Ovis aries: one gene and its partners. The protein of the gene in region 1 purifies or fractionates together with the protein of each later gene. This does not show direct contact. Links are inferred from orthologs where the notes say so. Each region holds a gene or a part of one and is shown in the gene's direction. Other genes may lie near its edges.

What was found.
Region 2: the proteins of TNIP2 (region 1) and MAP3K8 purify together in Homo sapiens (affinity purification with mass spectrometry; 3 studies listed by BioGRID and IntAct, with this or other methods). This does not show direct contact. The link is inferred for Ovis aries from reciprocal best matches to the Homo sapiens genes TNIP2 and MAP3K8.
Region 3: the proteins of TNIP2 (region 1) and TNFAIP3 purify together in Homo sapiens (affinity purification with western blotting; 5 studies listed by BioGRID and IntAct, with this or other methods). This does not show direct contact. The link is inferred for Ovis aries from reciprocal best matches to the Homo sapiens genes TNIP2 and TNFAIP3.
Region 4: the proteins of TNIP2 (region 1) and TANK purify together in Homo sapiens (affinity purification with mass spectrometry; 3 studies listed by BioGRID and IntAct, with this or other methods). This does not show direct contact. The link is inferred for Ovis aries from reciprocal best matches to the Homo sapiens genes TNIP2 and TANK.

The regions. Positions count from the first base shown.
Region 1 is NC_056059.1:116,696,412-116,700,708, forward strand, and holds the start of TNIP2 (TNFAIP3-interacting protein 2), read left to right. Parts: upstream 1-1,428; 5' UTR 1,429-1,538; coding exon 1,539-1,817; intron 1,818-4,297. UniProt on the Homo sapiens protein: Inhibits NF-kappa-B activation by blocking the interaction of RIPK1 with its downstream effector NEMO/IKBKG.
Region 2 is NC_056066.1:34,691,351-34,695,099, forward strand, and holds part of MAP3K8 (mitogen-activated protein kinase kinase kinase 8), read left to right. Parts: exon of another isoform or gene 1-449; intron 450-1,068; coding exon 1,069-1,430; intron 1,431-3,749.
Region 3 is NC_056061.1:63,031,964-63,035,712, forward strand, and holds part of TNFAIP3 (tumor necrosis factor alpha-induced protein 3), read left to right. Parts: intron 1-896; coding exon 897-1,087; intron 1,088-1,722; coding exon 1,723-1,870; intron 1,871-2,025; coding exon 2,026-2,196; intron 2,197-3,034; coding exon 3,035-3,215; intron 3,216-3,749. UniProt on the Homo sapiens protein: Ubiquitin-editing enzyme that contains both ubiquitin ligase and deubiquitinase activities.
Region 4 is NC_056055.1:148,618,423-148,622,682, reverse strand, and holds the start of TANK (TRAF family member-associated NF-kappa-B activator), read left to right. Parts: upstream 1-1,335; 5' UTR 1,336-2,404; coding exon 2,405-2,439; intron 2,440-4,260.

The DNA.
Region 1 (4,297 bases):
ATCCCATGGACAGAGGAGTCTGGTGGGCCACAGTCCATGGGGTAGTAAAGAGTTGGACAGGTCTGAGGGCGGAGCCTGGTGGGCTGCCGTCTATGGGGTCTCAGAGTCAGATACGACTGAAGCGACTTAGCAGCCGCAGAGCGACTGAAACTGTTTCAGTTGCATAGCCTATTAGGAGTGCCACAGACAGGAATGTCTCCGAGCCCTAACCACGCGGCCTGCGGGCGTGTGGGCACAGGCACCCTGTACTGCGTCCCCCAGTCTCCACAACACACCTGAGGGGTGGGGGCAGCCAGCCTTGACCTCTCTGCAGCGGAGGAGGTGTGAGCTGGCTACACTTATAATTCTGATTATACCAGCTTGTGAGTGTCTTCCCTGGGCTCAGCCCAAGCTCGGGTATGGATTATGTAGAGGGGGAAAAAACGCCACGCTGCTCTCAGGGGACCCAGGGACGGGGGCAGAGAAGGGTGTGCCAGGGAACCTTCGAAAGACCACAGGTGTGCTTGGGCATTACAGTGGAGGACACTCGGAGTCTGAAAAAGTAAACAGCCGTGGAGCCATGGGAAAACCCTCGGAGTCGGCCTGGGAGCCGGCAGATGGAGCGGATGGAGAAACAGGGCAGGAAAGGGCCAGCTCCCTCCTGCCTTCTACCCTAAGAGCAGTTCTTACACCTCGGAGAGGGGATGCGGGCTCTGGAATCTCGCTGGTGGGCTGGGTACCTCGCCGGGCTCAGTTCCTGGAAGGCCGCCCTTTTCCCGGTGCTCGGCGTGGCAGCCGGCCTGCAGCCCAGGGGTCCGGGCCCACGCTCGGGGCTAACACTCGGGGTCGTCTCTCTGGCCACTTCTTTTCCTTCCGTCAGGAGCGAAATAGAGGCCGTTTGACCCCTCTCCTTGTCCGCGCCTGACTCGCTGAAAGCTCCCGCGACACGAGCCGATGAGGCTGCTGGGACAGGCCAGGAACCGCGGGTGGAGCGGCCGCAGGACCCGGGCGGGTGGGGACCCTGCGTGGCCAAGGTCCGCGCGGCAGGCAGGGTCCAGATCTCCTCGGGGGCGGGGCCTGGCGGCTCGGCGAGGGCGGGACCCAGCTGCCCGCGGGGCGGGGCCTGCCGGCTCGGCGGGAGGCGGGTCAGGCTCTCCGTGGGGGCGGGGTCTTGCGGCTCGGCGAGGGCGGGGGCACGCTGTCCGTGGGGGCGGGGTCTTGCGGCTCGGCGAGGGCGGGGGCACGCCGTCTGCGGGGGGCGGGGCCAGCCTCTCGGCGGGGGCGGGAGCACGCTGTCCGCGGGGGGCGGGGCCAGCCTCTCGGCGGGGGCGGGGGCACGCTGTCCGCGGGGGGCGGGGCCAGCCTCTCGGCGGGGGCGGGAGCACGCTGTCCGCGGGGGGCGGGGCCAGCCTCTCGGCGCGGGGCGGGCCCGGGATCTCCGCGGAGGGCGGGGCGCGCCGGGAAAAGTTCCGGGAAGGTGGGCCGCCCCACTGCTCCCCCGGCCCAGACCCGGCACGGAAGTTGCCGGCGGTCCGCGCCTCCGGGACGGGTCCGCAGCCATGTCGTCCGGGGATGCGGAGTCCGGGGGGCGGGAGGGCGCCCCGAGCGCGGCTGCCGCGCTTTGCGGCCTGTACCACGAGGCGGGGCAGCGGCTGAAGCGCCTGCAAGACCAGCTGGCGGCCCGGGACGCCCTCATCGCGCGCCTCCGCGCCCGGCTCGCCGCGCTCGAGGGGGACACGGCGCCGTCGCTCGTGGACGCGCTGCTGGAGCAGGTGGCGCGCTTCCGGGAGCAGCTGCGGCAGCGGGACGGCGGCGCCGCGGAGGCCGCGCTGCGCCAGGTGCGGGGCGGCGGGGCCGGGCTTCCCGGGGGCTTCCCGGGGGCTCCCGGGGGCGCGTGTGCCCGTCGGGCGTGAGGCGTGCGTGGTCTGCCGCGGCGGAGCCGCTGCGTGTGGGGTTCTGGGCGGTGCGCGCCGCGAGGGGTGTAAGGGCTGAGCGTCGAGCCGGGCTCTGCCGTGCGTGTGCGCCTTGGCTCAGGGGCTGTGCGTGCGTGTGCTGGCTTTTGAGGCGTCTGAGCCTTGCTGCGTCTGAAGGAGTGTGTCTCGCTCCCTCAGGTTCTGAGAGGTGTGTGTGCCAGTTAGTCTGGGGGCCGTGTGACCCTGTCGGTTGGGAGGGGTTTGTCCTCTCTGACGATATGGGATGGATGTCGAGGTGGGTCTGAGGGCTGTGTGCGTGTTGGTGTGTGTGCGGCGTTACCCTGTGGGGCCTGAGGGGCGTGTCTGTCCCAGCGTCGGGTCTGAGGGGTGGTTGCGACCATGTTGGGTGCTTCGTGCTGTGTGTGTGTGTGTGTGTGTGCGTGTCATTTCTCAGGTGAGTGTGCGTTGGCTTCTGGGGGGTGTGTGTGGCTTTGCTGAGTCTGGCGGTTGTGTGTCCCGAAGGTTCTGAGGAGTGTGTGTGCCCATGTTGTGGTGTGCTTGCGCGGCGCGTGGGCTCTATGGGATCTGCGCTCCTCTTAAGGGTTGTGTGGTTCTGAGGGTTTGTACGTTCGGTTGTGCTGAGCCGTCTGCTCCCTGGTTGGCTTCTGAGGGATGTGTGTGTCTGTGTGGTTCTGAGGCTTGCCCCTGTTGGGATCCGCCCATTTTGGTCCTGAAGGGTACGTGTGTCTGTGCTGGTTTTGAGGAGTGTGTGTTTCTGTGTTGGGTTCTGGAGGATTCTGCTCGGAGAGGTTGTGTGCCTCTTAGATCTGAGGGTTGTTGCGTCGCTGCTGGCTCTCGGGTGTGTGTCAGGCTCGTTATCTGCTCCCATGTTGGGGCTGAGGACTGTGTCTCCCCGGGCTCCGTTCTGAGAGGTGTTGGTGCTCCTATCGATTCTAGAGGCTGTGTGTCTGTAGCAGCTCTGAGTGGTGTGTGTGTGGGTTTGGGGTGCTGGGTGTGTTTACCCCTACTGGGTCTGAGATGTGTGTGTGCGCCTGTGCAGAGTCTGGGGGTGTGTCTGCGCCCGTGGTGGGTTCTGAAGGGTGATGGTCCCTGGCTGTGGTGAGGGCTGTGTGCCTGTGTTGTGTCTGAGGGTTACGTGCGCCCATATGAATTCTAAGGAGTGTGTGGTTGCATTGTTTTTAATTAGCTTGTTTACAGTTTATTTTTAATCGGAGGATAATTGCTTCTGCCATAGGTCACGCGAGTCAGCCGTGGGGACACTTATGTCCCCTGCCTCCTGCCCCACCCCATCCCCCTCTCTAGGTTGTTACAGAGCGTTGAATGGGAGCTGTGTCATACAGCAGCTTCCCATCGTGAAACAGTGGCTGTCTGTCTACACACAGTGATGTCTGTGCTGCTCTGAATCCATCCCGCTCTCCTTCCCGCTTTGTGTTGGTTGTGAGGTGTATTTGTACATGCTGGTGTCTGAGCGGTGTGCCTGGAGTCTGCGGCTTGTGAGTCTGTCCTGAAGGGTTTGTTCCTATGTTGGGTTTTGATGGTTGTGTGTGTCCGTGTTGTGTCTGATGGGTGTGTGCTCATGGTGGGTCTGAGGGTTGTGTGTCCGTGTTGTGTCTGTCTCGGGAGTCTGCCTGTCTGTGTTGGGGGTGAGGGCTGTGCGTGCTGGCTCTGAAGGGCGTCTGCGTTTGCTGGGTTCTGGGTGGAGTATTCCCATATGCGTCTGAGGAGTGTGCTTGTCTCTGCTGGTTTCTGAAGCGTGTATGTCCTGTGTGGTGTGTGTGTCTGTGTGTGTGTTTTGGGTTCTGAGGGGCGTGGGCACTCGTTTGGGCTCTGGGAGGTGTATGTGTGTGTTGGATTCTGTAGGTTGTCTTGTCTGTGATGGTTCTGAGGCTTGTGCGTGTGCCGGTATTGATTCTGATGGTTGTGTACCAGCTGAATTCAGAGGGACCTGCTCCCATGTTGGGTCTGAGGGGTGCGTGCCTGTGTTGGGTCTGAGGGATGAGTGTGGGTGTTGTTTGTATCTGGATTGTGTGTGCGCGTGAGAGGCTCTGTGTGTGTGTGTGTGTTCATGTGGAGTCCTGCGCTGTGTGTGCAGGCACCGGGCTGGGTGTGTGTGTAGCGCGTGGCTGTAGGCTCCTCGTGTGTGGGGGCTGTGTTGGGTTCAGGGCCATGTGGACCCTAATGTCCTGGGTCTCTTTTAGCCCTAGTTGTGAATGTATCTTTCAGTAGTAACACCTCTGCTCTGCAGGGAGTGATGACAGAGTGGGAAGCTGCCGGAGTGTCTAAAAGCCGACTTAAATCCTTACTTTCCTGCTTTCTTATCCTTGCCATTGATATTATGTCTGTCTGCATGAAATATCATTAAATACTCAAATCAGGAGCAAGAG
Region 2 (3,749 bases), on another chromosome or scaffold:
ATCCCCAAGTATGGCTCCTGATGTGTCTGAAAAACTGAAGTACAGTTTTGGCTAAGCAGACTTAGTTGACCTTGTCTGTGTCTTGCTTATGATAGATTTGGCTGCCCTGGCCTCTTACCACAACTTCTAAGGAGTCATTGATCTAGATGTTAAATGAACCCTCTTGAGTCTGTGAGATGCATGCTTTGTCCTGTTAAAGAGTTCTGGTCACAGGAGGGGACGGCTGATTACAGGTTAAAAGAATCTTCTCCTTTCTCATAGCCATGCTCAGCAGAAGGAGGATTAGAGGTTTGCTGTCTTCCTTCTAAGTGAGCTGTTTAATTTATTTGCATCAGAATTATTCCTGAAACTTGATTTACCATCACCAAATTTGCTTAGATTACAATCCATTTGAGATGCTTCTGGCTTCAAGACCTGAATTTGATTTGCAAAGCTAGCTCCTGAATTTGGTAAAGGAATTTCTTTTTTTTTTTTTTAAGTGTATTTCTATTTTTATTGTATGTATTTATTTATCTTTGGCTACACCATGTGGCTTGAGGAATCTTCATTCCCTGACCTGGGATTGAACCTGGGATCCTGTGGTGAAAGGGCTGAGTCTTAACCACTGGACTGTCAGGGAATTCCAAGAGAGTTTCTTTTCTTTTTAAATTCACCCAAGGCCTAAAAGTCACAGAGATCATGCAGAAAGGGTTGCCCCTTTTGGGAGAGCAGCAGGTTGGAAACTGTCAAGAACCAGGTGCTTCAGCTCCTGCTCCTCAAATTCACACTTGGGTTTAGTGAATGTTTATTTTCAGAGGCTACAGCTGATGCCAGCAATTCAGTGAGTAAGTGGGTAGCTAGTGAGTTCACTGGATCTCAGGTTTCCTCTCTGTAAAGTCAGCGCCAGATTAAAGGTTATCTCAGGTCCCTTCTTCACTGTCTGTGCACTTGACCTCACACACCCTGTGGCTGAAGCCCCTATTTTATGAACAAAAGCACATAGAAGCCTGTACCTAGTCAGTCTTGTCAGTTTCCTATTGATCGCAAATACAAACACAGTAAAGTAAGTAGTCGCGCTTTCTTCTGCAGACTCCTTGGAGGGCCCAACAGTGATGGAGTTCATGAGCACCGGGAGTGACAACAAAGAAGAACTCGATTTATTAATGAAACATTTGAATGTGTCCGATGTGATAGACATTATGGAAAATCTTTATGCAAGTGAAGAGCCAGCGGTTTATGAACCCAGTCTGCTGACCATGTGTCAGGACAGCAACCACAACGAGGAGGAGCGGTCTGAGTCTCTGCTGCTCAGTGGGCAGGAGGGGCCCTGGTTGTCCTCAGTCAGATATGGGACCGTGGAGGACTTGCTTGCTTTTGCAAACCACATATCCAACACTGCGAAGCGTTTATACAGATGCCGACCTCAAGAATCTGGAATTTTGTTAAATATGGTATGTTTTTTCCTCATCAGTTGAGTGCTATGTGTTCAGCTTCCTACTCCTGCTACATTTAACGCTGAGTGGGATTTGAATGTTGTTCAGACTGGCTGCCAGGTACGGTTTCTAAAGATGGAATATCTGTAAGAATGACCTCCATGTGAAAGATGCAAAAAATACAGCCTTCATTAAAAGTTTTGTTTAAAGAATCTTATCCATTACTTTAGAAGTAGTTCTACAGATAGGTAATTAAGAAGAATGAATTTTAATTTCATGATTCACTAAAGAGCTCACTTGTCAAGTCAAAGAGAAAGGCTTTGAGACTCATGTGAGAGGGAAATAAAGACTTTGTCTTTATATATATATAATATAGTATAGTTTATAATTTTATATAAGTTACAGGTGTACAATATAATGATTGGCAATTTTTGACGGTTATGCTCCATGTATAATATTTTAAAATACTGGCTATATTTCCTATGTTACACAGTATATCCTTATAGGTTATTTTACACATAATAGTTTGCACCTCTGAGTCCTCTGCCCTCTTCCTTTCCCTCTGCCCATTGTTAACCATTAGTTTATTTTCTATGAGTCTGTTTCTTTTTTTAATATTTATTAATTTGTTTTATTTTTTAGATTCCACATATAAGTGATATCATACAGTGTTTGTGTTTGTCTGCCTTAATTTCACTTAGCATAATACCCTCCAAGTCCATCCATGTTGTTGCAAATGGCAAAATTCCATTCTTGTTTATGACTGAGTAGTATTCCATTGTGTGTGTGTGTGTGTGTGTGTGTGTGTGTGTGTGTGTACACCACATCTTCTTTATCCATTCGTGTGTTGACAGATGGTTAGATTGCTTCCATTTCTTGGCAGTTGTAAATAATGCTGCTGAGAACACTGGGATACATGTGTCTGACTGAATTATTGTTTCCATTTTTTCAGATATATACCCAAGAGTAGAATTGCTTGGGAATGTGGTGGTTCTCTTTTACGGTTTTTGAGAAACCTCCATCCTGTTTTCCGTAGTGGCTGCACCAATTTGCATTCCCACCAACAGTGTAGGAGGATTCCCTTATCTTCACATCCTCATCAGCATTCGGCATGTGTGTTCTTTTCAATGATAACCATTCTTACAGGTGTGAGGTGATATCTCACTGTAGTCTTGATTTGCATTTCCCAGTGATTAGAGATGTTGAGCATTTTTTCCTGTGCTTATTGGCCATTTACATATCCTCTTGGGGAAATGTCAGTTAAGGTCTTCTGCCCATTTTTTAATCGGGTTGTTATTTTTTTGATGTTGAAGAACTGTAGGAACTATTTGTATATTTTGAATATTCACTCTTTCCTTATTGGTAGTATCATTTGAAAATATTTTCTCCTGTTCAGTAGGTTGTCTTTGTGTTTTGTCCTTGGTTTCCTTTGCTGTGCAAAAGTTTTTAGTTTTAATTAGGCCCTGTTTGTTTATTCTTGCTTTTATTTCCTTTGCTTTAGGAGACAGATCCAAAAAATATTGCTATAATTTATGTCAAAGAATGTTCTGTTTAATTAACAATTTTGAAGTCTGAATTTTTGTGCTCCTCTTTTGTTACATCTTGAAACATCATAGTATTAATACTGGGTAAATTCAGTTCTTGTAGAAATGTAGTTTGTGGGCAGTAAGTAGTTATCCAGAGATGCTCTCTCTTTAATTGGTGAGGTATAAATAACAAGGGATATATTTGTTTAGTTATCCTAAGTATGCAAATAATCCAAAATATTGTGACAACACTTAGTTGCCACGATAGAAGATCAGGTGATGTATTGGGGTGTGGTTAGTCTCTTAGTGTGTCAAAGGTGAATGTAGGTGCTGGCTAAAGGTGATCTAATTTTTGGAAAAGAACAATTCTCAAAGGAGTGGGTGGGAACTTGCAAAACATGCTTAACTGATGATGAAAGCACCTCAGTTTCCTTTGGTGCATATAAATGGAGAGATGGTTAATATATGGAGGGTGGTGCTGAACAAGTAGAGTCTGTACCAAGTACTTAATTATTATTATTTTGTGTACCGCATTTGTTCACTTCAAAACAACACAGTGATTTAGGTCAGCTATGTAGTGAATTGTTTTGTTAGAAGCCAGCTGTGTTCACCTATAGATGAATTGCCAGCAAGATTGCAAAATCACGTTTTACAAAAAAAAGTAAAGGTTACGTTTTGCATTGTGTATGACTTGCTTTGATCTGGATATGCCAAACTGTATTTGATACTTTGTCTTGAGAAGAGTGCTTCTTTTCATACATGGAAAGTCATAATTTGAACTAGGGGTCATACCTGTTTGTCTTAGCTAAAA
Region 3 (3,749 bases), on another chromosome or scaffold:
TCTTAAAGTGCCAGCCGTAAACACTGAATCAATTTTCAAATGTAGACATCTAGACACTCTTTAACTCTGAAAAGGGACTCTAATTGCTAACAGGCGGGTTCACACAAGGCATTTATGGGAGGTAGGGGTGAGCAGGCTAGTAGGTAATTCCGTCTCAATCCCATTTTATAAATCAGGAGAGGAAACTCCCAGGCCCTGCTTGCTGTGGTGGGCTGGTCAAGTCATTTACCCCTGAGTCATGGCCAGACGGTCCCTGTCTAGTAAGCGGAGCCAGACCAGCTTCCTGGTTTGAGCATGTTGCTCTGGGTGTTCTCTCTCAGGGTCAGAGAGCAATAGGACCAGCATCTGAGCCAGAAGATCAAGGCTTGTTAGAAAGGAAGGGACTTCAGAGATCATAATCCAATACCCTCATCTCACAAAGAGGAAAAATACTCAGAGGTTAAAAAATTCCCCACTGAGGGCAGAACCAGACTGGAGTCAAGGTCTCCAGACTCTCAGTCCTTGGTTCCTTGGGCTTTGTTAGAAGCATTCATTAAACAGAAGAGTTACAAGAAAGATTTTTTATTTTTCCCTTAAAGCTGTCATCACCTAGTGAAATGTTACCAGCTGGTCCTTTGACAGGGAGGTGGGAAGAGGATTCAGGATTGGGAACACATGTACACCCATGTCGGATTCATGTTGATGTATGGCAAAACCAATTCAATATTGTAAAGTAATTAGCCTCCAATTAAAATAAATAAATTTAAATTAAAAAAAAGAAAGAAACTAAACCTTTGGCGTTTCTCACAAGCACTACTGGGTCCCCACTTACGGTAGCAGAGAGGCTGGTTTATTCTGGAAACCTCTGCTAGGCCTTAGATTCGGATTGCTAGAATTTGCTTCCCTTCTGTCCTCAGGTGACGGAAACTGCCTCATGCACGCGGCTTCTCAGTACATGTGGGGTGTTCAGGACACAGACTTGGTCCTGAGGAAGGTGCTCTTCAGCACCCTCAAGGAGACGGACACGCGCAACTTTAAATTCCGCTGGCAGCTGGAGTCTCTTAAGTCTCAGGAATTCGTGGAAACTGGGCTTTGCTACGACACCCGGGTATGTTGGGGTTCCTCCTCAAACATTTATTGACAGAGCTCCATGGTGGGAAAACTGCATCTCCAGCCAGTCCCTGCTGTCAGGGAGCATATGGTTTGCTGGGTCACGTGAACTTGGCTAAGCAGAGTCAATGGAAAACACCAGAAACCTCCCATGGGATGAACCCAAGGCCCTTGTCACTGCTGGGAGGCTCCCAGGCAGCATCTTCCCAGCTGGAGAGTCATTCTAGAATGATCTTTCTGATCACAGGTTTCCCTGTGGCATTTTGGCTGTTTGGGGAGTTTGATGACCCTTGCTTGCTTTACTGAGCCCGTCAGTCAGATTCAGAGGGCACCTCCCCATCTTCGGCCACAAGGCTGGGACTCTGTGCACAAGGAGCTCGGCGTGGTGTTTCAGCAGGGATTTTTCTGAAAGCAGGTGCTGTCCCCCTGCTCCTCTGCTTCTGAGTTTGCCTTGTAATGGGAAAAAGTAAAGGAAGAAAACCAGAATTGGGGGGAAAATGGGTGATAATTTGAGTGATGATCTTAAGAAAGGGTAAAAGTAAGCTCAGTGATACCAGTGAATAATTATAGAGTGGAGCCAAAGTTGTTTTTTAATGCAGAATGCATTCAATAGTTTCTTTCCTCTCCCCTTAGAATTGGACCGATGAATGGGACAACCTCGTCAAGATGGCATCCGCAGACACACCTGCAGCCCGAGGTGGACTGCAGTATCATTCACTGGAAGAAATACACATATTTGTCCTTTGCAACATCCTCAGAAGGCCAATCATTGTCATTTCAGGTGAGATGCCTGCTGATGGCGTCTCTGTATTTAGGTGCCTTTCAGCTTTAATCCCTTACCTCTTAGCATGACCCAAGTTCCAAGCATCCATAGCTAAATGGACTCCCATGAAAGTCTCAGAGGGCCTTATCTTTTCTTTCTCTTTCCTTAAACAGACAAAATGCTGAGAAGTTTGGAATCAGGTTCCAATTTTGCTCCTCTGAAGGTGGGTGGGATTTACCTGCCTCTGCACTGGCCTGCCCAGGAATGCTACAGATACCCCATTGTGCTCGGCTATGACAGCCAACACTTTGTACCCCTGGTGACCATGAAGGACAGTGGACCTGGTGAGAAAACCAAGCATCTATTCACATTTGTAACTGCTTCTGAATCCTGCTACACCCTGTTCTTACTGAACGTCAGGGTTTGCTCTTTGGCTCCTTTTTGAAAGCCTCATTTAAGTATATTAGTTTTATTTAAATATAGTATTCTGTAATTTGTTTGATTAGCAACAATAATGCACTCACACTAATCATAATGCCCCCCCCATCCCCTCTTGTTTTGTGTGTCGTTTGGGACCGACTTTGAGCATGTTAGTGGCAAATAGGAGATAATGTCTATTACTGCCACCATTTCTTAATTAACCCGTAATACAGTGCCTGGCCTGGGGCAAGTAAATGTCTGGCAGGCTAGCTATTACTGTACTAGCTTAATGTGGAACTAATAGGGTACTTTATAAATGCTTTAGGTACAATATTTTATTTCATTTCATCTTCACAGCATCCATGTGGATGCTATAAGCACTGATAGCCTTACTGTACAGATGAGGCACCTGAAGCTCAGAGAAGTTAAGTAACTTCCCTAATATCACAGAGCTGGATAGTGGCAGAGTCAGAATCTGAACTCAGGTCAGTCTGAATCTGAAGTGCAGTAATTTAACCAGTAAGACCCGCTGCTTGGAGGCTGCTTTATATTCTGTGAACTTCCTGGAAACAGTATATTTTATATTAGAGTTTAGCACAGTTTGTTTCCCCATTTGATTTTGTGGCTAGATAATACTTTTCCATTCTGTAATTGTATCCTTTCTGCATTTTCAAAATGCAGTCGTTATATATATATATGACCTCACACAAAATCTTGTTTAGTAGAATCATTTTGCTTACGTGCTATTTCTTTTTCCCTCAGAAATCCGAGCTGTTCCACTTGTTAACAGAGAGCGAGGACGATTTGAAGACTTAAAAGTTCACTTTTTGACAGTTCCTGAAAACGAGATGAAGGAAAATCTCCTGAAAGAGTACTTGATGGTGGTAGAAATCCCCGTTCAGGGCTGGGACCATGGCACCACCCATTTAATTAATGCTGCAAAGTAAGCAGTTTGTTTTTGGCTCTTTCCTGTGTCATCTTTAAGCTGCTTCTGCCTCAGAGACCAATAGTAAAGTTATTTGAAGCCAGTTTCCTCCAACGTGAAACAAATTTAGGGGCTTGTGTGTGTCAGAGACAATCAGCTTAAGTGGCACTGACTTTGGTTTTCAAATGAAAACAAGGAATTTTTCCAGAGGCTTGTCCTGTGTATCTGGATGCTTGGAAGCCAGCACGGTGGCTTCAAAAAGTGCGTTCACATCAAGGATACTTTTTTTTCTTTTAATTGCCCTAGTGCTAGACTAACAAGTGAAAATTCTTAGAAACAAAAGCCTCATTCTCCTGGCTTCTGGGTAAGGCAGACACATCACATGCAGGCTGGGCTGTAGAATGTGTTTCTGTAGCAGCCACATGAGTTGGCCACGTGGATCAGGGAGGAGAGACCCAGAGTGCGGGTTTATAGGTATCAAGATTGTAAACACTGGCTTGATGATAAAGAGATGCCTGTTTCCTAGAACTTGAAGTGCACAACACCGAGAAG
Region 4 (4,260 bases), on another chromosome or scaffold:
AGGACAACAATATACGGTATTCAAGGTCATTTCAATCTTAGTTTTGAAATTGCTATTTTCAACACCCTTAATATGCTTGTGCTTGGTGATAAAAGTCTTTTTCAACACCACAACTCTTGTCAGATACATGCAAAAATAGTGACAGTTCTTTAAAATATTGTTTTAATTAAATAAATAGTAGGTCATCACCATGGAAGCTTTTGGAAGTGTTAACATGCATTCAGCCAAATACAGTTATACTTCAGTCAATGTGGAGAGTCCCAACCTTCAGTGTTCTCAGGGAGAGTCCATATATGTATATGCTGTGGATTTGACTGCTCTTCTCCTAAAAGGAATAGGAATGTGCTTGATGGTGGGAAGGAGCCAGGATGACATGACTGACTCCAGACAGCCCCTCTCATTTGCAGAGCATTTTGAATTTTACCATATTTGGTTTTTGTTTTTTTTTTTTGGCTTACATTATCAGTTGATCCTGCAAGCATCCATCCAGTGAAGTAGGTTATCATTGTCCTTTGCTGTCAGATTTTAGAAAATCAAGATTCATTAGATTAAGCAACTTGCCTGAGATAGTAGATATCCGAGCTAAAACTTTTCTTGAGGTATCTGTCTAAACTTTTCATCTTGGAAAATATTCAAGCATGGGTAGGAAATGGAATAATGGAGAATCCTAAGTTAGGGGAAATTTTTTTAATAGAGATCTACTTCCATGTAGCAATCACTCAACTTTAGCAAGTACTTTTAATGATAGGTGTTGCTAGTTGGGGAAAACCCAAATGGGTGTGTGTTGTGTGTATATTTGTGTGTGTGTGTGTGTGGGGGGGGTTCTTCTCAGCATGTGGAGCTTAATAACCCTAATCACATTCACATGAACATCTGCTGAAAATGAGGACTCTTGGAATTCACCCCAGTTGCTCTTAACTCTTGGAGAAGGGCATGGCAACCCACCCCAGTATTCTTGCCTGGAGAATCCCATGGACTGAGAAGCTTGATGGGCTACCATCCACTAAGTCTCAAAGAGTTGGACAAGACTGAAGAGACTTAGCTGAGCTCTTAACTCTGGGAATCTCTAAGGGTGAATCTATATCTTTAACAAGAGACCCTCCGCTGGCCTTTAAACTTGATTTCGAGTGCCTTTCCGGGTCTGTAGTTGTCCCCCTTGAGTCCGGGCAGGGCTGCGCCGGGCGGGGCAGGGCTGGGCGGGGCTTGGGTGAGGTTAGAGGGAAGTGGCGGCAGGGGCACGGTCTGGCTTGGAGGGGTGGAGGGTGAAGGGTTAAGGGATCCACGCGCAGGCGCTGCCCTCTGAACTGGAACGGAAAACAACTTCCGGTTGGAGTCACTCGGCTGGGCGCCGGGCGACTTGAGACTGGAGAGACCGGTGCGGAAACCCTGAGCTGTGAGTAAGAAACTTCGCTAGCGAGTTGCAGTGTCCGAATGCATCGGGCACGGCGACGGAGAACTTGTGTGTGTGAGCAAGAGGGATGCGCTGGCCGTATGGGCGCCACAGGGAGAGAAGCCGAGGAGCTGCAGTGACAACCAGTTCTCATGGTGGGGAGGGACTTTGTGCGAAGGAAATCACCTGGGTCCCTGTCCCGGAGCGGACCGGGAGGGGCTTTCCGGGCCCATGGCGTCTGCGCAGCAACGACGGCCCCTGCTGCGACGGCTGCCGGGGAGGGATCCTGCCCGACTCCGCGTCGGCCGCTCTCTGTGACTTGATCTCTTGGCCTGCCAACCGGGGAGGCAGGCCTGTGATGTCAGAGTGAGCAGTAGACCCCACCTGGAGGTCCCAACCCCTCTTGAGGACCGGAGGCTGCCTTCCAGAAGTTAATACTATCTTTGTTACTCTTTCAAAAACTTCCTAGGTTCTTTCTGTTGTTTTTCCCCCAAGGTTATTGCACAGTTTCTCTCTCAGCTTTCCTGCGGGGTGTCATCATAGCCTTGTCACTGAGAAGTTGGGTAACCTCCCCGAGGGTCAAGGAGAAACTGGATGGCTGAGGCAGAAAGAGCAGAAGCAAACCCTGCCCCCAGTGGGAACCGGGCGTTAGGCGGAATCCCTAGCGTGGTGTAAACTGGCTGGTGACGAGTTACACGTGTAACAAGCTGTGCTCGTCACGAAGTGAAGCAAGGAGGGGAAAGATACTCAAACCAAAGAGTCTCTGTGTCTCTTACTATGCCGTAGCAGGGAGAAGTAGAGCAGCCTTTGCTATATAAAGTGTCATGAAGTGACCCGAAAGTAGAGGAAAATAGCGTGATCTGTTTCCCTACCACGACGGGAATACACACTTCAGAGAGGGGGAGTAGAGAAGCGAGCTCTGTAGTCTGCTGAAAAAATGTTTTGTCCCTCTCATTGGGGAGGGGAAGAGAACCGAGAACCCTAAAGTGCTAACAGTCATGTTTTAAGCAGAAAATGAAACTCCTTCACGGCCCTCTCCCCAGCCACAGGTACTCCAGCGCCTTGCACATCTCTCTTATGTGTACATAAACGTGTTATTTCGCTTTCTTATGAAAATAAGATTGTATGTGCATACAGTCCTATAATTTGGTTTTTCAGATAGAATATATATAGTGGAAATCTTACCATATATAGCTCTGCTTTACCTTAATGTCAGCATGGGATTTCTTTGCCTGGGTGTTCCAAATGTAGTTAAACATCTCTTAATATGGCCTATCTATGTATTTTGCCCTTGTTCTTCACAATTATTTAATCTGTATTTCATTAGGATACAGATATATTAACCCTTTGTGATTTATATGGCGAATATTTTCAAGACCTATCAGTCTTTGGGTTAAAATGCCCAGGTTTTCACTTAAGAAGATGGTCCTCACCAAAAAATTATTAAAATATTTTCCTATATTGTTCATTAAATATTCTTACAGTTATGCTTTACTCATTTAAATGTATGAAAATTATTTTTGAATATTGTATAAGATAGGGATTTAGCCATTTTTGCTGAAATCATTTGCTGAAATCAATTCATTCCCAACTGGCTAGAAAAACTACCTTAATAGAGTAAATTTCCAGGCCTACATGAGTCTTTTTTGGATTCTTGTGTTCCTTTGTTCTATTTGCTTCTTCCTATACAATTACCAATCTCTCTTTGATTAGGCATTTTGTAGTCATTCATAAAGCAAGTCCCTCTTCAAATATCCTTGGTGATTGTGTTCTCTCTCAGGTAAAATTTAAAGTAAACTATGTATATTTCATTAAAACAGGTTTCTTTGGGGAGTTTTGTTGTTGTTGCTGTATAGTTGCTCAGTCATGTCCAACTATTTGTGACCTCATGGACTGTAACCCACCAGGCTCCTCTGTCCATGGGATTTCCCAGGCAAGAAAGCTGAAATGGGTTGCCATTTCCTTATCTTGGAAAGAGATCTTTCTAACCCAGGGAATGAACCTGATTCTCCTGCTTTGAAGGCAGATTCTTTACCACTGAGTCACCAGAGAAGCCCTTGAGGGGTTTAACTACCCACTAATATTTTGTGACTGACATGTAGATGATTTATATATCTGGCCAACTTTCTAAAATTACTGGTTTTAATAAATTGTCTCTTGAATTTTCTAGGAAAATAGTCATCTGAATATAATCTTAACTCCTTCTTTATATTTAAATCTTTCTTTTGTTTATAAATTTATAGTTTCTCCAAAACAGTGATATATAATAACAGTGATTCTGGCCATCCTTATCATATTTATTCATTTGCAGTTATTTTTATTGTGTCATCATTGAATATGAATTTTATAATAAATTTCAAATAATTTTATTTATCAAAGAAGTGTCTAATATTTCTAGCTACTGGGATTTTTGCAGGGAATAGATTTTGGATTGTGTCTGAAGTTGGGGTTTTTTTGTTTTTTCTTTCGCATTGGCTAGCACTTTGAGAGCAGTTTTGAACAGTAGATGTTGAGTTTTCATTTGGTGTATATATTTCTTGTTGATGTATTTTCATTGCTACTTTAGTACTAAACATTTTTATCAGGAGTGGAAGTTGAGTTTTGTCATATATGGCATTTTGGCATCTAATGTGATCAATCTTGTGGTTTTCTTCCTTGACCTTTTAGAATAGCAAATTGTTTTAGTAGATTTCTACCTTTGTTGTTGTTGTTGTTTTTAATTTTTATTGGAGTATAGTTGATTTATAATGTGTTAATTTCAGATGTACAGCAAAGTATATGTACATATATCCACTTTGTTTGTTTGTTTGTTTTCCCATATAGGCCATTAGTTCAGTTGCTCAGTTGTGTCTGACTCTTTGTGACCCCAT